Linked DNA regions of Stegostoma tigrinum. The protein of the gene in region 2 interacts with the protein of the main gene of each other region in a pairwise test. Links are inferred from orthologs where the notes say so. Each region holds a gene or a part of one and is shown on either strand. Other genes may lie near its edges. The genes, in order: rho-related GTP-binding protein RhoB and map1aa.

Region 1 (9,227 bases), on a different chromosome or scaffold from region 2:
GAAAAGTGAAAAATTGAACTGCAACTTCCCCTTAAACCACAGTTGAAATCAGGTAGGCAAGCAGACAGACAATCTGTTCTTTTGCCAGCTATGTTCACAAGTGCCTGCAGATTTAGATTTGTTGCCCCTTCTGGCTTTTATTCAGCAAGTCAGTCACAAGACCAAACAAATAGGTGAATTCAATCATCCACAATAGCTGCCATACAAGTACCAGCATTTGTTTGGGGGCTTCTGCTATCCAAGTGACCAATGATTGGCTGTAATCAAAGCAACCATTTCCCCACCCATGCAGGAATGACAAACTATCTTGCAGTTTAAAAAATACATAAAGCATGATCTAAGTGTAATTACCTTAATCATTACTGTAATCACACAAGTGATTCAAACAGTTAACTATGCAGCAGGGCCACAAGCATGGTTTGTGTATAGGCGCATAAGTTGATTTGCATTGGAGGATTTCAGTTCTTAGATTTCACCCTGTGGGCCTGAATCACCAGTGTAACACAAGAATTGAAAACATTGATTTCAAAGGCAGACAGGTTTGCTGCCTATTGAGCATTTTCAGTGTTGCAAAATTCTAGTGCTTGCTTTACCAAAACAGATCATTCTGTTGGTACTTCCCCCCCCCACCCCAAAAGTCACTAAACAGAACAATTAAAGAATCAAAAGACAGCAGCACCAGGAAAAACAAAACAGACTAATGTGCAATATTGAAGGCAGTTTAAAAAATTGAAAGGAGGAAAGTACAAGGTTTCAAAAATAAACTACTGAAAAACTCAGCATGTTCGGCAAGATCATTTTCTAACTGCAATTTAGAGTGTGAAATTGCATCTACCAACATCCCAATTTTCATATAGCCTGAACATTAGTGAAATCTATCGAAAATATAGCCAAGAAAAAAGTGTTAGTGGTAATGCAACATTTCCCTCATTGAAAGAGGTTACTCAAAACCATTCATACTGAAAAAAAAATGACTGTACAGTGATGCACAATTATTTGCATTCTGTAAGAAAATTTCTGTAGTGGTCCCAGTCAGTTGTAGCACTTCAGCTAAATTCTATCTGGCTATTTTAGCCAAAGCTATTGAAGACCAGGGGAAAGTTGATGGGGTGGGGAGGAAGAACGGGGCAATCACCCACACTTAATAGCAAGCCATTTAACAGCCCCTGCCATGACAGTTTGGTCAAGTTACTATAAAAGTCATCTCCCATGGCTGGTGGGACGCTGTCGTCACGAAGGGGCATCAGTAGTTGAATGCAGTCCGTACTCCACAACAGTTATCTGTACTGTTCAACAACACAGAACGGGTGATAATTGTTTGCTTTACGCCCAACAGTCTTGGTTCATTTCGCAGCATGCCATCTAACTGCTCATGAGCTTAATGTTTACAATGAAAGCAGTTTTCTCGAGGCCAATTATTTTAGTCAGTAAAAATATCGTTAAGCTTGCATTCAGAGGAAGTGATGCTTCATTTTTAAACGCACAAGTGAACACATTCACCGAAAATAAAAAGGCACTAAACTCCAAGTAAGCCATGTCGAGTGTGTAAGGCGGCTTCTTTTAAAGACCTCCGAGCGCATCGGCTCTGCAGAAAACTGACCGCACCCATTTCTTCAAAGACCGACTCCGCTTAAAGAAAACAGTAGGTCGCTTACAATTTTGAGCTCGGGATTTAAAAAAACAGGCACTTTGCCCGCACCCAGTCTGTTCACGGCAGCAAAACAAAAGGTGAAGGTCCCTTCGTTACAAGTGTAGGAACAGTGCGCAGACACCCGGTGTAAAGTTTGAAACAAAAACCTCATTCTGCCCGTCAGCAAATTCAAAATAACTACAAACCAGATACAAAAAGAACGGGGTCCGATTATATTTAATAATTTCCCTTCGTGAAAATGGATGTACACAGCTTACAATTCAGTATAGGATTCTGTAAACAAACGCGTCGTCTTGCAAGCTTCGCCATTTTTCGTTAGTCTTTTTTTGAAACTGAGACAATGATCAACCTCAGTACCCACTTGGGAAACGTATCAAAAATATTAAATGCACTTTTCAGCCTCTTTAAAAAGGGCTGTCATTTCCCTTCTAGAAAGAAACACTGTCAGCACAGAAAATGCATCTTCTCATTCTTCAACAATTTTTTTTTTTAAAATGTCCCAAAACTTTTTTGGGTGAGATGCCAGAGCAGTATTTACTTTACAAAATAAGAAAGTAATTCGAACGGTTTGGCATTGAGAGCAGTCATTCTTGGATAGAGGGACATGGTAAGGGAGACCAATACGCGGCCACCACCCCCAAAAAACAACTCGGGGGCGGGGGAGAGGGGGGGGGGGGGAGAAGGAAGTGTCCAGCAATGTGTCCGAGCAGGAAGTGGCTCGTGTTCTTGTAGCAAGTCTCAGTGCGATCTAACACCATTCCCGCGCCCCCACCCCCAAAAACAGTGAAGCCAGGAATAGAGACTGTACCCTACCCCCATCCACCCCAACCCCTTGACAAAGCTTGATCTCATTCTGTTGCCTCCCGTCTACCAGATAGAACCAAGGAGGCATTAAAGACAAAGAGTCCTAATCTTTTCTCGCGAGTGAAAAATGCTCAGATAATTTACAGATTAAAAACCACACAAACAACGACATATTTCCAGTCCCAGTCTGCCCCATCACAGCACACAGTCTCAGGAAAAGGGTTCGCTGGTCCAGTCTTGGCCGAAAATCAACGTGATGTGATGTTAAGAGCTTAACGAACCCCACCCCACCCCCCAGTCAGTGGATCCATCGACTCTTCAGGAGAGAGAACCTTGTCCCATCCCATTCCACCCCCCCCAGAAAAAACCCTCCTCACTCCCCAGTTGACTCATCCCCCGCTCGATTGAAGTCTGTCCAAAACGGGGGAAGAGAGAGTGTGATAAATATGAGAGTTCGGTTTCCCAGAGAGCGTCAGTCGGTAGTAAACAGCATCATAAGACGGAACAGCAGTTAGTACAGCCTGTGCTGGGTCGGGCTCTCTTCTGAAGGGCTGCCCGGGTAGCCGTCTCGAACACCTCCCGGACCCCCTCCTTGGTCTTAGCCGAACACTCCAGGTAGTCATAGGCTCCGATACGGACAGCCATGGCTCGGCCGTCCTCGGTCTTCACCGGCTCCTGCTTCATTCGAGCCAGCTCGTTCCTGACGTTCTCATCGTTCCTCAGGTCCTTCTTGTTAGCCACAAGAATGATGGGCACGTTGGGGCAGAAGTGTTTGACTTCGGGCACCCACTTCTCGGGGATGTTCTCCAGCGAGTCCGGGCTGTCCACCGAGAAGCACATCAGAATGACATCGGTGTCCGGGTAAGAGAGGGGTCTCAGACGGTCGTAGTCCTCCTGGCCTGCCGTGTCCCACAGAGCCAACTCCACCTGCTTCCCGTCCACCTCGATGTCCGCCACGTAGTTCTCAAACACAGTCGGCACATAGACCTCGGGGAACTCGTCTTTGCTGAAGACAATCAGGAGACAGGTCTTCCCGCAGGCTCCATCTCCCACCACCACCAGCTTCTTCCGAATAGCAGCCATACTCCCCACTTCTCTCTGTATCTACCCGCTTCACAAACAGCAGCTATCGGTGCAACGCTGAGCTTTAGAGTGCAATTGACCCCCCCTCTCTCTACCAACCGACTGACTCATACAGTGTGATCCGGGCTGCAGCTTCGGCGCTGCCTTTATAAAGGGGTAGCGCTGCCTCCTAAATATAGCAATCCAATGGGAAGCTCCTCTCTGAGCTCATCGACTGCAAGAGCTCACTGATTGGAGTCGGGCTGTTGGGGAGGTGCTCCCAGACAGCAGGAGAGAGCAGTCAAAGAGGGGGTGGCCGATTGAAAAAAAACTCCCACTCATCTCTCCTCAGCGGAGAAACCGTTTGAAGCAATATCATTTTACATCAAAGAAGTTTAAAGCATCCAATGCCCCAAACACACGTTCCAGCCGAAGTGATAATGGGAACTGCAGATGCTGGAGAATCCAATATAATAAAATGAGGCTGGATGAACACAGCAGGCCCAGCAGCATCTCAGGAGCACAAAAGCTGACGTTTCGGGCCTAGACCCTTCATCAGAGAGGGGGATGGGGAGAGGGTTCTGGAATAAATAGGGAGAGAGGGGGAGGCAGACCGAAGATGGAGAGAAAAGAAGATAGGTGGAGAGAGTATAGGTGGGGAGGTTGGGAGGGGATAGGTCAGCCCAGGGAAGACGGACAGGTCAAGGAGGTGGGATGAGGTTAGTAGGTAGGAGATGGAGGTGCGGCTTGGGGTGGGAGGAAGGATAGGTGAGAGGAAGAACAGGTTAGGGAGGCAGAGACAGGCTGGACTGGTTTTGGGATGCAGTGGGTGGAGGAGAAGAGCTGGGCTGGTTGTGTGGTGCGGTAGTGGAAGGAGACAAACTGGGCTGGTTTTGGTCCAGCCGAAGTAGTGAATTTACTGCAGATGCTGGAATCTGTATGAAAACATAAAATGCTGGAAGTCGCAGCGGGGTCAGACAGCAGATAACAAGGTATAAAGGTGGATGAACACAGCGAGGAGCAGCAAGTGACGTTTCGGGCCTAGACCCTTCAGAAAATAAATTCTGAAGGGTCTAGGCCCGAAACATCAGCTTTCCTGCTCCTCTGATGCTGCCTGGCCTGCCGCGCCCATCCAGCTCTACAACTTGTTATCTCAGATTCTCCAGCATCTGCAGTTCCTATTGTCTCTGGGTCAGACAGCATCCGTGGGGAGAGCAAACTAACGTTCTGAGTCTAGTTTTCATCAGAGCTGATGTGTTTTCAGAAGCAGCAGTTACCTGCACCTCACTCAATCTAGTCTACTGTATTGGCTGCTCACAATGTGGTCTTATCTACATCGGGGAGAAGAAACACTGACAGTGCGAGTGCTTCACGGAACACCTACATTTTGTCTGCAAAAATGACTCTGAGCTTCCCGTTTCCTGTCACTTCAATGCACCACTGTGTTCCCTGGCCAACATCTCTGTCTCGGGTTGCTGCAGTGCTCCAGTGAAACTCAACCCATGCTCAAAGAACAACACCTCATTTTCCACTTGGAAATTCTGCAGCCTGTAGGACTCAGCATGGAGTTCATTAGCTTCAGAACCTGATTCCATCCTTCCATGTATTTTTTTTAACCAAACTTCACACTGAATCTGGTTATGATAGACATTGCTTTTAGCACAGTCACCCATTCTCATGTACTCCTGGGCTCAATATCACATTCTATGCATTGCATTCAGTACATTATACCAATTCTCTCCTACACTAAGCCCTTATTGTCACTTATTCAGCTGTTCTTCTATCCTGGCCTGATTTCCGTAATCTCCTTGTTTATCTACCCCCTTTCATATTTTTCTCATTCTGGGCTCCACCTGCACCTAGCTGTTCACCTTTCCCCTTCCCCACCCCCTCCCTCAACATTAACTTTAGCATAAATACCACTTTCCTGTTGTCCGCTAACAGTTTTGTTGGTGGATCACTGGACTCAAATCATTAATTCAGTTTTCTTATGCCAGACCGGCTGAGTTTCTCCAGCAATTTCTGTTTCTGTTTGAGACCTTCAGCATCTGGAGTTCTTTGTTTAGTTTATTCAGAAAAAAAATGATTTTTGCAATGCCAGATGTTTTTGTTTCATCCCTGCATTGTGTAAATGATAGTAAGTCATGTGCATGTAAAGCATGCTCAAGATGTCAGTGTTATGGAACTCAAGTTTATGTTATGTTTGAGTTGGACTGGGGTAGCATCACTTCACAATGAACGACACCAGTTACTTTCCACAAACTGCTACAGCCCATGAACATAAACCGAAATTATTTCAAGCTGCTTACACCTTGGTGAAACACAGTCAATGGCTAAACAGATTTTAAAATAGCAATGGAGAGTGTTTATTATCAACTGTGCTTAGATGGGATGGTTAGAAATGCAGACTCGATTTCCCACTTTATTTCAGCTCCATGTCTCGCATGATAATTATTTACCCTGAATGGAGCATTCTCAATGCAATGTGTGCAGTGGCTAACATTTTAGTCAGAGAATTGAATGAAACTCCATCATTGCATGCGTAATTAGTCTGGAATTTAATTAAATGTATTTATTCGTTTGTTTTTATTTATTTTCATTGTAAAAGTATTCACTGTAGATTATGATTCCCCACTCTCACTTAGTCTGGGGTTTCCATAGACATCACCTCCCAAGGACTAACTGTGAATAGTGAAAGTTATCAACTGCAAACTGTTGTTGTATAGTTAGGATATCAATAAACCTGAAGCTGGAGCTAGGATTTCTAAGTAGAGACAAGAGACAAATTCAGTTAGTTAAATATTCAACTATGATTTATCGGTTGTGAAGTCTGAGTACATCTGCTTTGAGAATACATTGGAATTTTCCCCTCTCGACTGCCTCCAAGGAATACCAATGTGAAATAATTTGAAAAAGTCAGTCTCTGTTGATTTTGAATGACTCATCATTTGTTTGACGTAGTCATAGACTATTTTGTTGGTCACATTTTGCTTTGTTTCAAATAATTAAAGTTGAAATGCCGTAAAATGAAAATAAATCTCTAAACTTTTAGGATCAAACTTAAAATACTTTACATTTCAGATCCAGAGACTTGTTAGTACTTTTCAGCAGTTCATTCAGATAATTCCAAACAATATCAGTACAAGAACATTTGGCAAATCTTACTTTGTTGAGAAACACAGCACACGATGGTAACAATCAGATGAAAATGTACCACCATTGCTTGTATATCAGAGTGAAGAGAAAGTGTTATAAATTTTCCCTGCTTCTTTCTGCACCAACTCTTGCCAAACCTCTGAGCCTGAAGATGCAGCATATTTAGCAGTGCATTGTTTGAGGGTTATGTCTGTAAACATGAGCAAATGAGCAAACATAACTATTGCTCTAAGGTGAAAGGAAGTGTACCATTCACATTTGAACATGTTAAACAATTAAAGTCACCGGAAAGAACAAGATATGCCTATTCAAAACCATTTATGTTCATCTGCTAATTGAAAAACTGCTTAGTACAAGATGCATAGAATGCAACAGAATGACCTCACCTTTTCTCTCACCATGATCATCCAATCTAAACTACAACGGATGTTTATTCAATGCATGGTCAAAATGTTTCTTACATGCAGTTTTTCACAAGCTTTCTAGTTAAAACACATTTGGTTTAATTTTATCTCAATAAAATCTTGAGAAGTATCCTTTTTTTTCAAAATAACATCAAAGGAAGGCTGCAAAGTATTAGACCCTCAAGAAAAAATATTCTATCAGCACAACTTGCGGAAGGGTGCACATGAATCCTAAGATAGTATTTTCAATTTAAATTCAGCTCACGAAATCACTGCTTTTGCAGTGCAAGCCAAAGCTTTTGGAGAGACTATTGAAGAGACAGTTGAAAAGTTTAATGAAGGCAATAAAGGATAATTCAATAGACAATTGCAATTATTCTGAAAATGTCAATTTCTTTTCTAATTTTGAATATTTTAGGCTATTAATTTTGTTGCTTAGAAAAAACTGGCAACTAATAAGATCTTCAGAAAATTTTTAATCAGAACCCTGATTCTCCAAAGTCTATGAAATTGTAAATAAGAATTTGTGAATTCATAATAAATCTTGTAGTGAAGCAGTTGCAATCCTGCCTCTGATCCAGAAGCTTCATGTTCAAGTCCAACTCCAGGACTTGATAGCCAAGGAAGTTGTATACATAGCATGGTGAATCCTTGCAACATACACAAATGGTAGATGGTAAGAATAGGTCAGATTCCTGGTCGCTCATGTGCTGGGAAGAGATTTGGAACCTCTACCAGCCTGGACCACAGTGTGTCACAATATGTGTTGCTACAGCAATTCAGAGCCCTTGTGAGATTGGTTGGTTCAGTTGGTTGGACAGTAGGTCCAAATCAGATTGATATTGCTGGCATTAGGTTTGATCTTTGTTCTGGCTTGGGTGAATTCGGGACCTGCTTTCTTGCTTAATACATGATCATAACGTGGTGAATCAGATCTACTTTTGAACAGAACTGAAGAAAGAAGATTCATAATGGAAACAACGTGCCAAAAAATGCAAGAAGTGATAAAAGGAAGCAAATTTTTACAAGTAGGGAAGCACAAAATATGTGTGTCACTTGCATCTAACAATGGGCAAAGATGACCCACTGACTCTATGCATAATTTGCACGTTGTGGCAATTATTGTAACATATGTTGGAGTTAACTGATACACTGACATGTGTGTGCTGTCTTGGAACTTACTACAGTATTAAATTTCCCTTTGTGTCATTGCACACTGTAGCTAGTGTGAAGCAGAAGTGTTGTGAGACTCATTTGCTCAAGTTTGTTATGCAAGCCTGTTGTGACCAGCTGAAGAATGGTAACTCAGCTCCTCCCTTTTTAATCCCCGCTTGATTGATTGCAACCCATATTTTTTATTTCTTTGATCAGGCAGCTATTTGACACTAATTAAAGATGTATTTAGTAGATCAAAATAAAGGCTTTCTTGAGTGAAAAGAAAGTTTTCTTTTGCTGACTAATCCTTTCTCCCCAAAAATGACACCAATCACACACGCAAACTCAGGTAATAAGTTCTTTTAAAGGCTAACTGGTAGAGACAGGAATAAAAATGATGACATGTTAGATTTTTAACCTGAGGCCACAGTTCTTTAATTGTTGACTGCTATACTTAGCAGTGGTGAAAGCTGTAGGTGTCTTTCAGCTCTCAGTGAATAGTTGTCTCCCCAGTATATATTTTTCACAGGGGGTGGTTTGCTAAGGAAAAGGCACTGGATACAACAAAAATAATGTTGCACTTACAAGGAGCAGGGAATTCAGGTGGGGTCATACAGACTGGAGAACTTTCAAGGATATGGGCACTTTTTGCGTGGGATAGAAATGTAGTTTTGAATTCAGCGAGAGATTTTGACCTACCTGAAGATCAGCAGCACATTGATCTCTTTCTTTCCCTTTAGTTCTTTGCAATTCCTCTTATCAAAATGTGTGAACTAAAAATCCACCAAAAGTTATCTTTAGCATTCATGGAGGTTCTCTAAAAGGATTCATTGGAATCTACCACCAACGTCTGAAGTGAAGGTGTTTCCCCAGCCAACTACAACTATTTTGCTGCCATTGGTTTGTGTGTGCAGAATAATTTCAGAATCAGAATAATCTTATTTCTAACTTTTCATTATTTGGGCAACATACTTTAACAATCAAACTCTACAGAG
Region 2 (9,989 bases):
AATGAATTATCTATGTCACAATTGAGAAGGCAACATCTCAGCTGGAAGATGGCATTCCCTCGGTACTACCTTTCTGTTAACTTTGATCTTTTGCTCAAGCCTCTGGAGTGGGAACCTCTGACTAAGAGTCAAGTGCCTTGGCTGACTCAATGTGCACTGAGGATTGAGCCTGCCTGGTCTGTTTAGCTAAATGTCACAGGGTTATTGTCCATTCCAAGAGGGACAAATCATGGCTCAATGTCTTAATAGTGCTACTCATTACTAGTTCCTCCCTAATAGTTCCAGACACAAAGATCACAGTTGCAATATAGAACTAAACTGGTGCACAATTCAATGCACACAAAATGCACCTCACGGGGCTGCACTGAATTTTTAAATTATTGATAGAAATTTCAGTGAGGGACCAATGTCCCTTAAAGAAGGTTACAAAAATAATTCTGAATAAGAGGAAAAATGGTGGTTAGGTAAGTTTTGAACTAATGCAATAAGGCTGCTGCCTCCAATAATCAGCCGTTGTTACTCATATGAATCAGACTTTAAAACGTCAGTTCAAATCCAACCCCAGAGACTTTCTTCAGTTCATGCAGGCTGATTCACCTGGTATAAAAGAAAAACACTGCAGATGCTGGAAATCTAAAATGAAGTAAAAACAGGGAATGTTGGAGAAACCCAACAAGTCTGACAGCATCTGTGGAGAGAAAAAAAGTTACCATTTCAGTCCAGTTCTGTAGAAAGGTCATCCTGGACTTGAAACATTAACTATTTCTCTCCACAGACACAACCACACCTGCTGAGTTTCTCCAGCATTCTCTGATTTTCCTGGTGCTGCCTCTCAGATGAGATGTTAATTTTTTAGGCCCCCATTTGATGTCTCATGGGGATGTCAAAGATACCATGGTCATGGTTTGAGGACAAACAGGAGCTCACCATAATACATCAACTAATACTCATCCTTAACCAAACGTCATTCAAACTGATGATCTGGTTGTTATCATATCATTGTTCGCACATGTTGGCAGCCAAATTTCCTACGTTACGACAGGGACTGCACCTCAAAAGGACTTTACTACTCAGGTGAATTTGACGCATTGAGGAAGGCACTACATAAATGCATTCTTCTCTTTTCTTTAGTAATAGCCACAAATATTAAATGTTGGAAAAAGGGTGTCTCTGTCAGAACGCCACTGTTCTTTTTGGAAGTAAGGATTAATCACTGGCAGCAACCCCCGAACGTGTGGTGGGGTGGCACTGAGTGTACATCAGTTTCAGGAGTCAGCAAACCCCACTTTCCTGACTGGGTTTGGACAATGCAGCAGGAAGCAGCCTGGCCTGCCAAGTAGCAAACACTGACAAAACCAAGTCAGGGATGGTGCAGACCAACTGGCCCAAGTGGGGAGTTATTGGCCTCGTTGTGTTATCACTGAACTACTCCAGGGAACCAAGCAATGGTTTGGGGAAATCTGGGTTCAAATCTTGCCACAGCAGATGGTGGGAGTTCAATTCAATATATTTTTTAAAATCTGGAATTAAGAGTCTAATGAACAGGACTCCATTGTCAATTGTATGAAAAACCCATCTGGTTTGCTAATGACCTTTAGGGAAGGAAACTGTTGTCCTCATCTGATCTGGCCAACATGTAACTCCAGATTTATATCTGTGGTTGACTTTTAACTGCCCTCTAGAAAACTAGGGATGGGCAATAAATGTTGGCCCAGCAAGTGATGTCCTCATTTTGTGAATTTTTTTTAAAAAAAGCCTGGATTCTTATGGGGAATGTTGCAAATTCCGTGGGTGAAATGCCATGTTGGTTGATTGAAGACAAGATGATTGTAACCCCATATCATCTCGATCTTTGACTTTCAGTGTTTCACACTGGATTTTTAAGATGCCTTGATGTTTATCCTCACACAAATGCTGCAGAAAGCTCTGTGAGCCAGTCACAATGTAGCTCTTGTCTTCTGCTCAACATTGTTCTTTAACTGGTCAGTGTTCTCTGATAAGCCCAACACAGATAAAACTGTATTTTTTGGAAGTGCAGTTGAGACAAGTTATTCAATGTTTTGTTACAGATCTCCCACAACACAATTACTGACTCAGACTGACAGATGGAGCTGCAGATATGTTCAAGAGATTGTGCCCCTCCTGCAATGGATAAGGGAATGAGAGAACTCAGTATTTTCATATCAGGCTTGTGCCAGTGGTATTAAAGTGCAGCTTGCACAGTTTGCTGGGCCCCAAACTCTGGAATTCTCCCACTCTGATAGAACAGATTTAAAGGGGCTGAATAGACTCCTCCTTCTCCCCACCTTGGCTGCAGTTGGCAGGTCTGGTGTACAAGGGTTGTCCTGATGACACCACAAAGAATTCACAGCCCTGAATGCCAAGAAACGCAGTTTCTATCAACACTGACATATTCCTTCCTTAAGCCCTCTTATAGAGGCTGGGTCAGATTGTTCATTACCTTGGCATCTACATGCACTTAAATTTTCACATGTGAATGGATTGTTACCTTGTATGATTTCTTCCATTATGGAGAAGGTGCTTGTGCTCTGCACAGCATACAACAGGTTGCTGCATGAGCTGCAATTCCATGCAGCTTAGAGGGGTCACTGACATCCTAATTAACTCTGAGCTAATCATCTGACTCAATATCCTATCCATCACCATGCTCATTTCTACCTCTGTGGCATTGCTCAGACATCTGCCAACAAGTCTTGTTAAACCAGCAGCCTTGTGCTTACCGACCTGCACTGACTCAATTTTTGAGCCTTTTCTGGTCCCTTTCTCAATAATTCCCTCCAGCTCTATAACCCAGGATCCTCTAGTTCTGGCCTCTTGCAAGCTTGGAGGGCTGAACAGCCTATTCTTGCTTGTTAATCCCGGAGACTCCCTACTTTTATGCTCATTTAAGATATACCTCTTTAATTGAGCTTTAGGGCACCTCCCTAATATGTCCTTAAATGACACCATGTCAAATTATGTGTGATGAAGCATAGGGGAAATTTTATCCCTAGGATTTGGAACATGGGTTATGTCTCTCTCTTCAAATCCCAGAATATTAACACAGCCCCATGTGGGCCCTGCACGTATTAACCTGCTCCCGGGAGAGCCTGCCAATACTGACAGACTCCCACGTGAATACAGAGGTATTCTCTGGGACCTCTTGAAATACCAACATATTGCAGCAAATAGCAACATACACCCTGGGACCCTTGAAAATAGTGCTGCACATATTCTGACTCCTTCCCCAACTTGCAAAAGTCAGCGACCAAGGCCCAGAGGGAAAGCAGTTGAAATAAGATTATAAACAAGTTTGAGAACAGGATGAACACAGCAGGCCAGGCAGCAGCGGAGGAGCAGGGAAGCTGACGTTTCCGGTCTAGACCCTTCTTCAGATCTATCACTATCTCAGTTGAAATAAGTTTTTTTTATTAATTAGGAAACAGCTGTTAGAAGGTTCTGGTGACCAACACATCCAGGAACCTTATGGTAAATGGTGAGATATGTTGTGATTTAGCGTGCACAATATTCAAATCCTAAAGCCACGTGTAGCAGGACTGGAGTTACGGTTCTTGTGGTGCAGTGGTAGGGTCGCTACCTGGGTGGCCAGAAACTCCGGGTTCAAGTCCCATCTACTCCAGAGATGTTCAGTTGTATCATAATACATGTTGATTAAAAATAGCGGGGGTACCTTCATACTTTGAAACGCTTCAGTGATTTCAAGAGAGTTAGCAAACCTCCGCAACATTTCTCCAGAAAATGTCGCTCAAAGACAATGCTGGAAGGAGGAACAGGCGGCTGAAAAAGAGGAAGGGACGGAAGCTGCACCGCCTTCAACATCGTGGTGATGGGGAAAAAGAAGTTGAACTGTCACCAAAAAGTGAAAAATAATCTTATTTCAGCAAAACTTTCTATTTGCAACACGCTGGGATTAAGTGGCTGCCATTTAAATTGCATTGAAATAGCTTACAGGCAATAGAAATATTTTGATCTTCGAAACAAAATAGAATGCAGTTCGCCCAGTTCCAGACAGGTTCCGGTTGGAGCATTATCTTAATCATTTAATCCTTTCTTATTTTATTACTTGGGCGGTCTCCTCACCTTGTTCAACGTGGAGAATTGCTGATCTCAGTTGACTATCTGTGGCGATTTCTCCAACGACAATCAGAACGGAGTAAGTGTGCAGGTTGCACGGCGCTGGGGACTGCGGTCGCTGTCCGTGGTGCTGAACCTGATCCGGGGACTGCTCGGCCGCCGCCGCTCGCTGCTCCGGGGCAGCGGGGAGCATCGCTTCCCCGGCCGCCGTCGCCATCGCAACCACGCCAATCAAATCGCCAACACAACTACACCCTCTCCATCCACTCACACCTCCCAGAGCCTTCTTAAACAAGCTGAGACCCCGCTGGATTGGCTTGGGATCTTGACTGACATTCGGATGATGTCAACTGGGGCCAATCCCGAACGTCAGGAGCAGACGAAAGGTGGGATTTTAGGGAAGGGGTAGGCGAACTTACTAGAGAGAGAAGAGCACAACGCTTTTTTCAAAAAAAATTCTGCGACAGTGCAAGACTGGGCTGAAAATGGTGCAGTGTACGCGTGTATGGTGTTTTGCAACCATTCTATTCTACATCTTCGCATTAAAATCTATTGCAAATAAAACATTGTCAGTACAACAAAAAGCCTGGGTTGGATTGCAAGTTTTGGAGGTGATTAGGTCCCACATCCAATGTGCAGAGACAGTTAGTGTAGGATACATCAGATAGAGTGGCAAACCTGCATCATTTTATACCACTGAACGCTGTCCATTCCTTCATGCAGCAAACTACAAGGCATGGTGCATAGACCCCTCGCCCACGATAGAGGCTGAAGGGACCAAAAGGCTGAAATTGAAATAGATAATGCTGCAAATTGTAATGGCCAAGAGAGGAGTTCACAGATTCACACTATGTTTTAATCGGAATTAATAGAGGAGCATCGTTCACGTTGAGGATGTTAACCTGTGTCTACTTCAGAAGATACCTAACCAGCCATTCATTTCCAGAACCTCTGCTTTTGACAAATTGCAACACCCTGCAATTGTCCAATGCTCATTTCATGTATGTATTAGATTGAGGGGGAAAATCAGTGTTTTGAGAACAGCAGCAAAAGATGTTAAGCATCTTAAAGGTTAATGGGAGAGCTTGTTGACTTTGAAGTTAGGAGGGTAGTTTCCAATAACCAAAGCAATTGCCTTTTCAGAACCACATATATGATTGTCTATGGCAGATGCAAGTATAAAATTTACCCCAACAAAATTCATCCACCCATCCCAACTTCTCCCCATGAAATTCCTCAATCCACATCTGAACTCCTTCCCACACTCATGACATTGCTTCACCCATTTCAGATTCTCCCCGTTCCCCCCGTTACGGAAGACGTGTCAATAGCAGCATAAAGCTGGGAATTCATGTTAGCCTTCACTCTGAAATCTGGCTCTGGCTGGTGTTGGCACTGAATCGCAGCGTCTGCTGGTCACTAATCAAAGCATCATCAATCAGATCACATTGCCCCAGCTTTCTGCTGACACAATGTGAATCACTGTTGCATTTAATAATGCACTGTAGTTCTGGCTGAAGTGATAACAACTCACGGTTAGTAATAATTGTGCCTCTTATTCCCTTCGCTACGAACATTCTAGGAAACAAAAATTTGGAAAGTGGTCTTTGAGGATTTCCAGACATTGTGTTCATGACAAATTGACTGCTGTGGAATTGGACAGTGGCATTACAGAGTGCAATCCAGTAGATTTTGTACAGTGCTAGCCAAGTCTGAAGCAAGTGGTAGGAATAAGAGCACAGAATATTCCAGATCATTGGCTGTCGGTTCTCTCTATGATTCAGCATAAGTAGCTATTTCATTGACACATATTTAATTTTGCAGAGAATTCAGTTTCTTTCAGCACTTTCCCCTCCCCCTCTTTTTTCTTCTCATCTCCAAGTAACATAAGGTTTGTTGGATCTCCCTGTCCACATTTCCTCTCCCAATATCACTGGCCCATCCCCTTCAGATCCCTAAGGTTCCCATCCCCCCAGTGATCAGTCAGAATCAGTGGCAGCTGGGGAGGGAAATCACAGTAAAATCATGCAGCACTTACAGCAGAGATTAGTGGGTATCTCAAAATTCTTGGGGACCAACACACTGTCCCTTTCAATGTTTCCTATTCTGAAAATGTGATCAGACAAGTTGAGGCTGACATCCCAATGTGGCACTGATGGAGTGCTGCACTGTTGAAAATGCTATTTTTCAGATCAGATGTTAAGGAAGGGTCTAGGCCCGAAACGTCAGCCTTACTGCTCCTCTGATGCTACTTGGCCTGCTGTGTTCATCCAGTTCTACACCTTGTTATCTCAAAGTCTGCTCTCTCAGGCGGATGTGAAACTTTTAGAATAATGAGGCCTGGATAGAGTGGACATGGAGAAGATATTTCCACCAGTAGGAGAGGCTAGAACACAAGGACACAGCCTCAGAGTGAAGGTGCTGAGGGACATCCCTTGAGAAATGAGATGAGGGGGACTTTCTTCAGCCAGAAGGTACTCAATCTGTGGAACTCATTGCTACAGAAGGCTGGGAAGGCCAAATCATTGAATGTATTTAAGACACAGATCAATATGTTCGTGATTAATATAGAATTAAAAGTAATGGGGTGATAAAGATATTAGCCAAGATTGAATGGCAGAGCAGACTTGATGGGCCAAATGGCCCCATTCTGTTACTACATCTTATGGTCTTTGTGTAAGATCTGAAGGTGATTTTGGGAATAGGGCAGGAGAGGTCTCCCTGGGTTCCTTACCAATATTTGTTCTGCAGCCAACATTAAAAACAGATTTCCATGTTAATAATCCCATTGCTTTTTGTGGGGCCTTGCTGTGTACAAGTTAGATACCACTGACCTTCCCTCTTGGCAGTGCTACCTCGAGGCAATCTAAACATTTTTGAACAGGCTAAGTCTCACTTGATATTACAACACACGCCTTCAAAAGTGCTTGATTGACTGTGAAACACTTTGGGGACTCAGATTGTGAAAGTGATAGATAAATGCAATTCTCTCTTGCCAGCTACCTCAGTTAATACACAAATTCAATGGATACAGAGACCAATCCCACCAGCAACAGCAAATGGCCATCAACAAGATCAACCCATGGTAAGAGACTAAATGGGAGGTTGTGGCATGGTAGTAATGTCATTGGCTTAGAAATCCAGAAGCCCAGGCTAATCTTCTGGGGGCATGGTTTCAAATCCCACCATGGTTTGATCTAGAATCCTGGAATTAAAGAGATGGTTTAATGGTGACCCTGTTGCCACAGTCATTTTATAAAAAAAACTGGTTCATCAATGCCTTTTAGGGAAAGAATTCTGCTGGTCTGGCCTCCGTGACTCCAGGTCCACAGCAAGGCAGTTGACTCTTAGTTGCCCTCTGGGCAACAAGGGATTAGTAATTAATACAAGCCCAGTATGTGACAACCAGATCCTGTGAATGAATTAAAATATATATCAACTGCGGCAAGTAAAAGATTACACCAAGCCATGCACTTAGTGATGGAAACATTGAGGGAATTGCTTGAATCTTTTAAGTTAGAGGACTTAACACTAGTACTTAATTCCAACTGAATCATCAAGGATCAATTACATCTGGTCAGCCTATAGCAATATTAGGTTTCACTAAGCAATCCATTAACGCAAGGACAGCATTCATAAACTCCATATGTCTGCAATACCCTGCACTTCTGAGCATCTGATATCACTACTGCACTCTGATCCACTTCCCTCCTCCCCGAGGGGAATGTCACCTTCAGCACAAAGGTCAAGAGGAGAGGGCGAAATGACTTTGAGATGGATCAATCCATTGAGTGCCCCTATGATTTGTTAGAGGTTATTTAAGGCTCCTAAGAAGTTTGAGATGGCTGACTTAGGGAATATGTTCTTAGAAAAGGTGGGGTGGGGGGTGGGGCGGTCATAAATATACACAGTCACAACAAATCCGATAGGGAATTCAGCAGAAATTTCCTTACTCAGGGTGGTAAGAATGTGCTGATAGATAAATTTAAAGGGAAGTGGGACAAACAAGAGAAGGCGAGGAATCAAAGGATTTGTTGATAAAATAAGGTGGAAAAAGCCTGGTGTGGAACATATAAGCAAGCATAAATATGTTGTTAAGTAGCCTGTTTCTTGCTGTAAATATTGTCAAACAAACTTCAAGGATTTTGTTCACTCTGCAGCTGGGAGTGCTGCACTGTCAGATGCACAATCCTTCAGGAGAGATGTTAAGCCACATCTGTCCACTCATCTGGATGGGGCCACTCCAAAGAAAAGGGGCCTTCTCTCAGATGCCTTGCTCAATATTTAAACAAAATCACTGTAGCAGATTTTCTGGTCATCCACATGTCAGTATGTCCAACAGCATCACACTCCCACAGTAGTGCACTAGAGGACAGGCCTGGCTCATTCTCAAGTTGTTGAGGTGGAACTTGAGCTGTCACAAGATAAATTCATCAGCTTTCATATCAGTTACCTTCTGAGAAAGCAGCTTGTAATTAATAACACTGATTAAATAAAACTAGTGGATCTTTAGCCAGACTAATGTTGATCTCCATTGGTAGTTATGGTATAATAACTAGGAACTGATAAGGAGTAAAATTATAAGATCCATTGAATTCTTCTTCCACTGCCCTGAGTAATTTGATACAAATGATAATGGGAGTTATTGAAATAATCACAGTGATCAATCTCTATCAATAAGTCTACAACAGACACAGGCAGGAGGCAAGAAATGTTGGGGAGATTCAGGAACAATTGGCCCAAAGTCACCTACTTTTCCTGATCCTACTGCACCAACCAAATACTAATAGCTGCAACCCAAATTATAATTGCCTAAAGAATTTTTATTAATTCCATTTGAAACACTCAATCAATGCAATATGCTTCCACCATCTCCCCAGGGAACCTGTTTATAGATTGACCACTGACTCACTGAGATATTATTTCTGCAGCAAGGCTAAATTATGAAGAGAACTAACACAGAGGGTTGATTCCACAAGGAGAAACAGGTGCCTACATTTTGTTCAGCTTTCCGTTATCACCCCTGATCCCCCCACCCTTGCTGCTGGGGTACAGTTCTCAAGATGCTAAATGGTTAGAGAAGCAGGCATGGCAAAGGTTTAACATCTCATCTGATGAATGGCACTTCTGACAATGCAGCACACCCTCCATGCTGCTCAGATTCCTTGGGTGGGACTTGAACGCACACACACACTTCTGATTCAGCACATGATAGTCTTGTATACTACAACAGCACACTTTGCCTATCCTAACCTGGCAGCTGGGTGAAAGCTTTATTGAAGTTGAAGTCTATCACCTTGGCAGAAGATTAACTGATACTAATTCATCCAAGTAGCAGCAGTTTTAATTCAATGTAACGTAGTTACATCATGGAATGGGGGGAAAACATGGGGCAGGAATAAGGGGAGAAGCTAAAAACTTAGTTGCAGGGCCTCCAAATGCTGAGAAAGGGAGGTAGAGATTTCTTGGGCCAATATTTACTCTTGAAGGAACACCATGAAAAGAAAATGTTATTATCACATTACTCATTTACAATTTGTTCATGGGATGTGGGTGCTGCTAGGTCAGCATGAATTTTCATTCATAATTGCCCTGGAGAAGATGGTGAGCTACCTGCTCACTGAAGTCCTTGGGTTATAGGGACACCCGCAATGCTGTTAGGAGGGGAGTACTAGGACATGACCCAGCAACAGCAAAGGAACAGGGATATAATTTCAAGTCAGGATGGTGTGTGACTTGGAGGGGAATTTATAGGATGTGATGTTCCCATGTATCTGCTGCCCTTGTCCTTTTGGGTTTGAAGGTCATGGGTTTGATTTTGCTGTCAGACAGCCTTGGTGACTGATGTAGATGATACAAAAAACAAATTGCTGGAGAAACTTAGCACATTTGCC

Evidence for each region.
Region 1: the proteins of map1aa (region 2) and rho-related GTP-binding protein RhoB interact in a two-hybrid assay, tested with the Homo sapiens proteins (2 studies listed by BioGRID and IntAct). The link is inferred for Stegostoma tigrinum from reciprocal best matches to the Homo sapiens genes MAP1A and RHOB.

What each region holds. Positions count from the first base shown.
Region 1 is NC_081357.1:125,690,786-125,700,012, forward strand, and holds rho-related GTP-binding protein RhoB, read right to left. Parts: upstream 3,680-9,227; 5' UTR 3,539-3,679; coding exon 2,948-3,538; 3' UTR 1,850-2,947; downstream 1-1,849. UniProt on the Homo sapiens protein: Mediates apoptosis in neoplastically transformed cells after DNA damage. Not essential for development but affects cell adhesion and growth factor signaling in transformed cells. Plays a negative role in tumorigenesis as deletion causes tumor formation.
Region 2 is NC_081389.1:21,678,207-21,688,195, reverse strand, and holds the start of map1aa (microtubule-associated protein 1A), read right to left. Parts: upstream 4,363-9,989; 5' UTR 4,313-4,362; coding exon 4,102-4,312; intron 1-4,101. UniProt on the Homo sapiens protein: Structural protein involved in the filamentous cross-bridging between microtubules and other skeletal elements.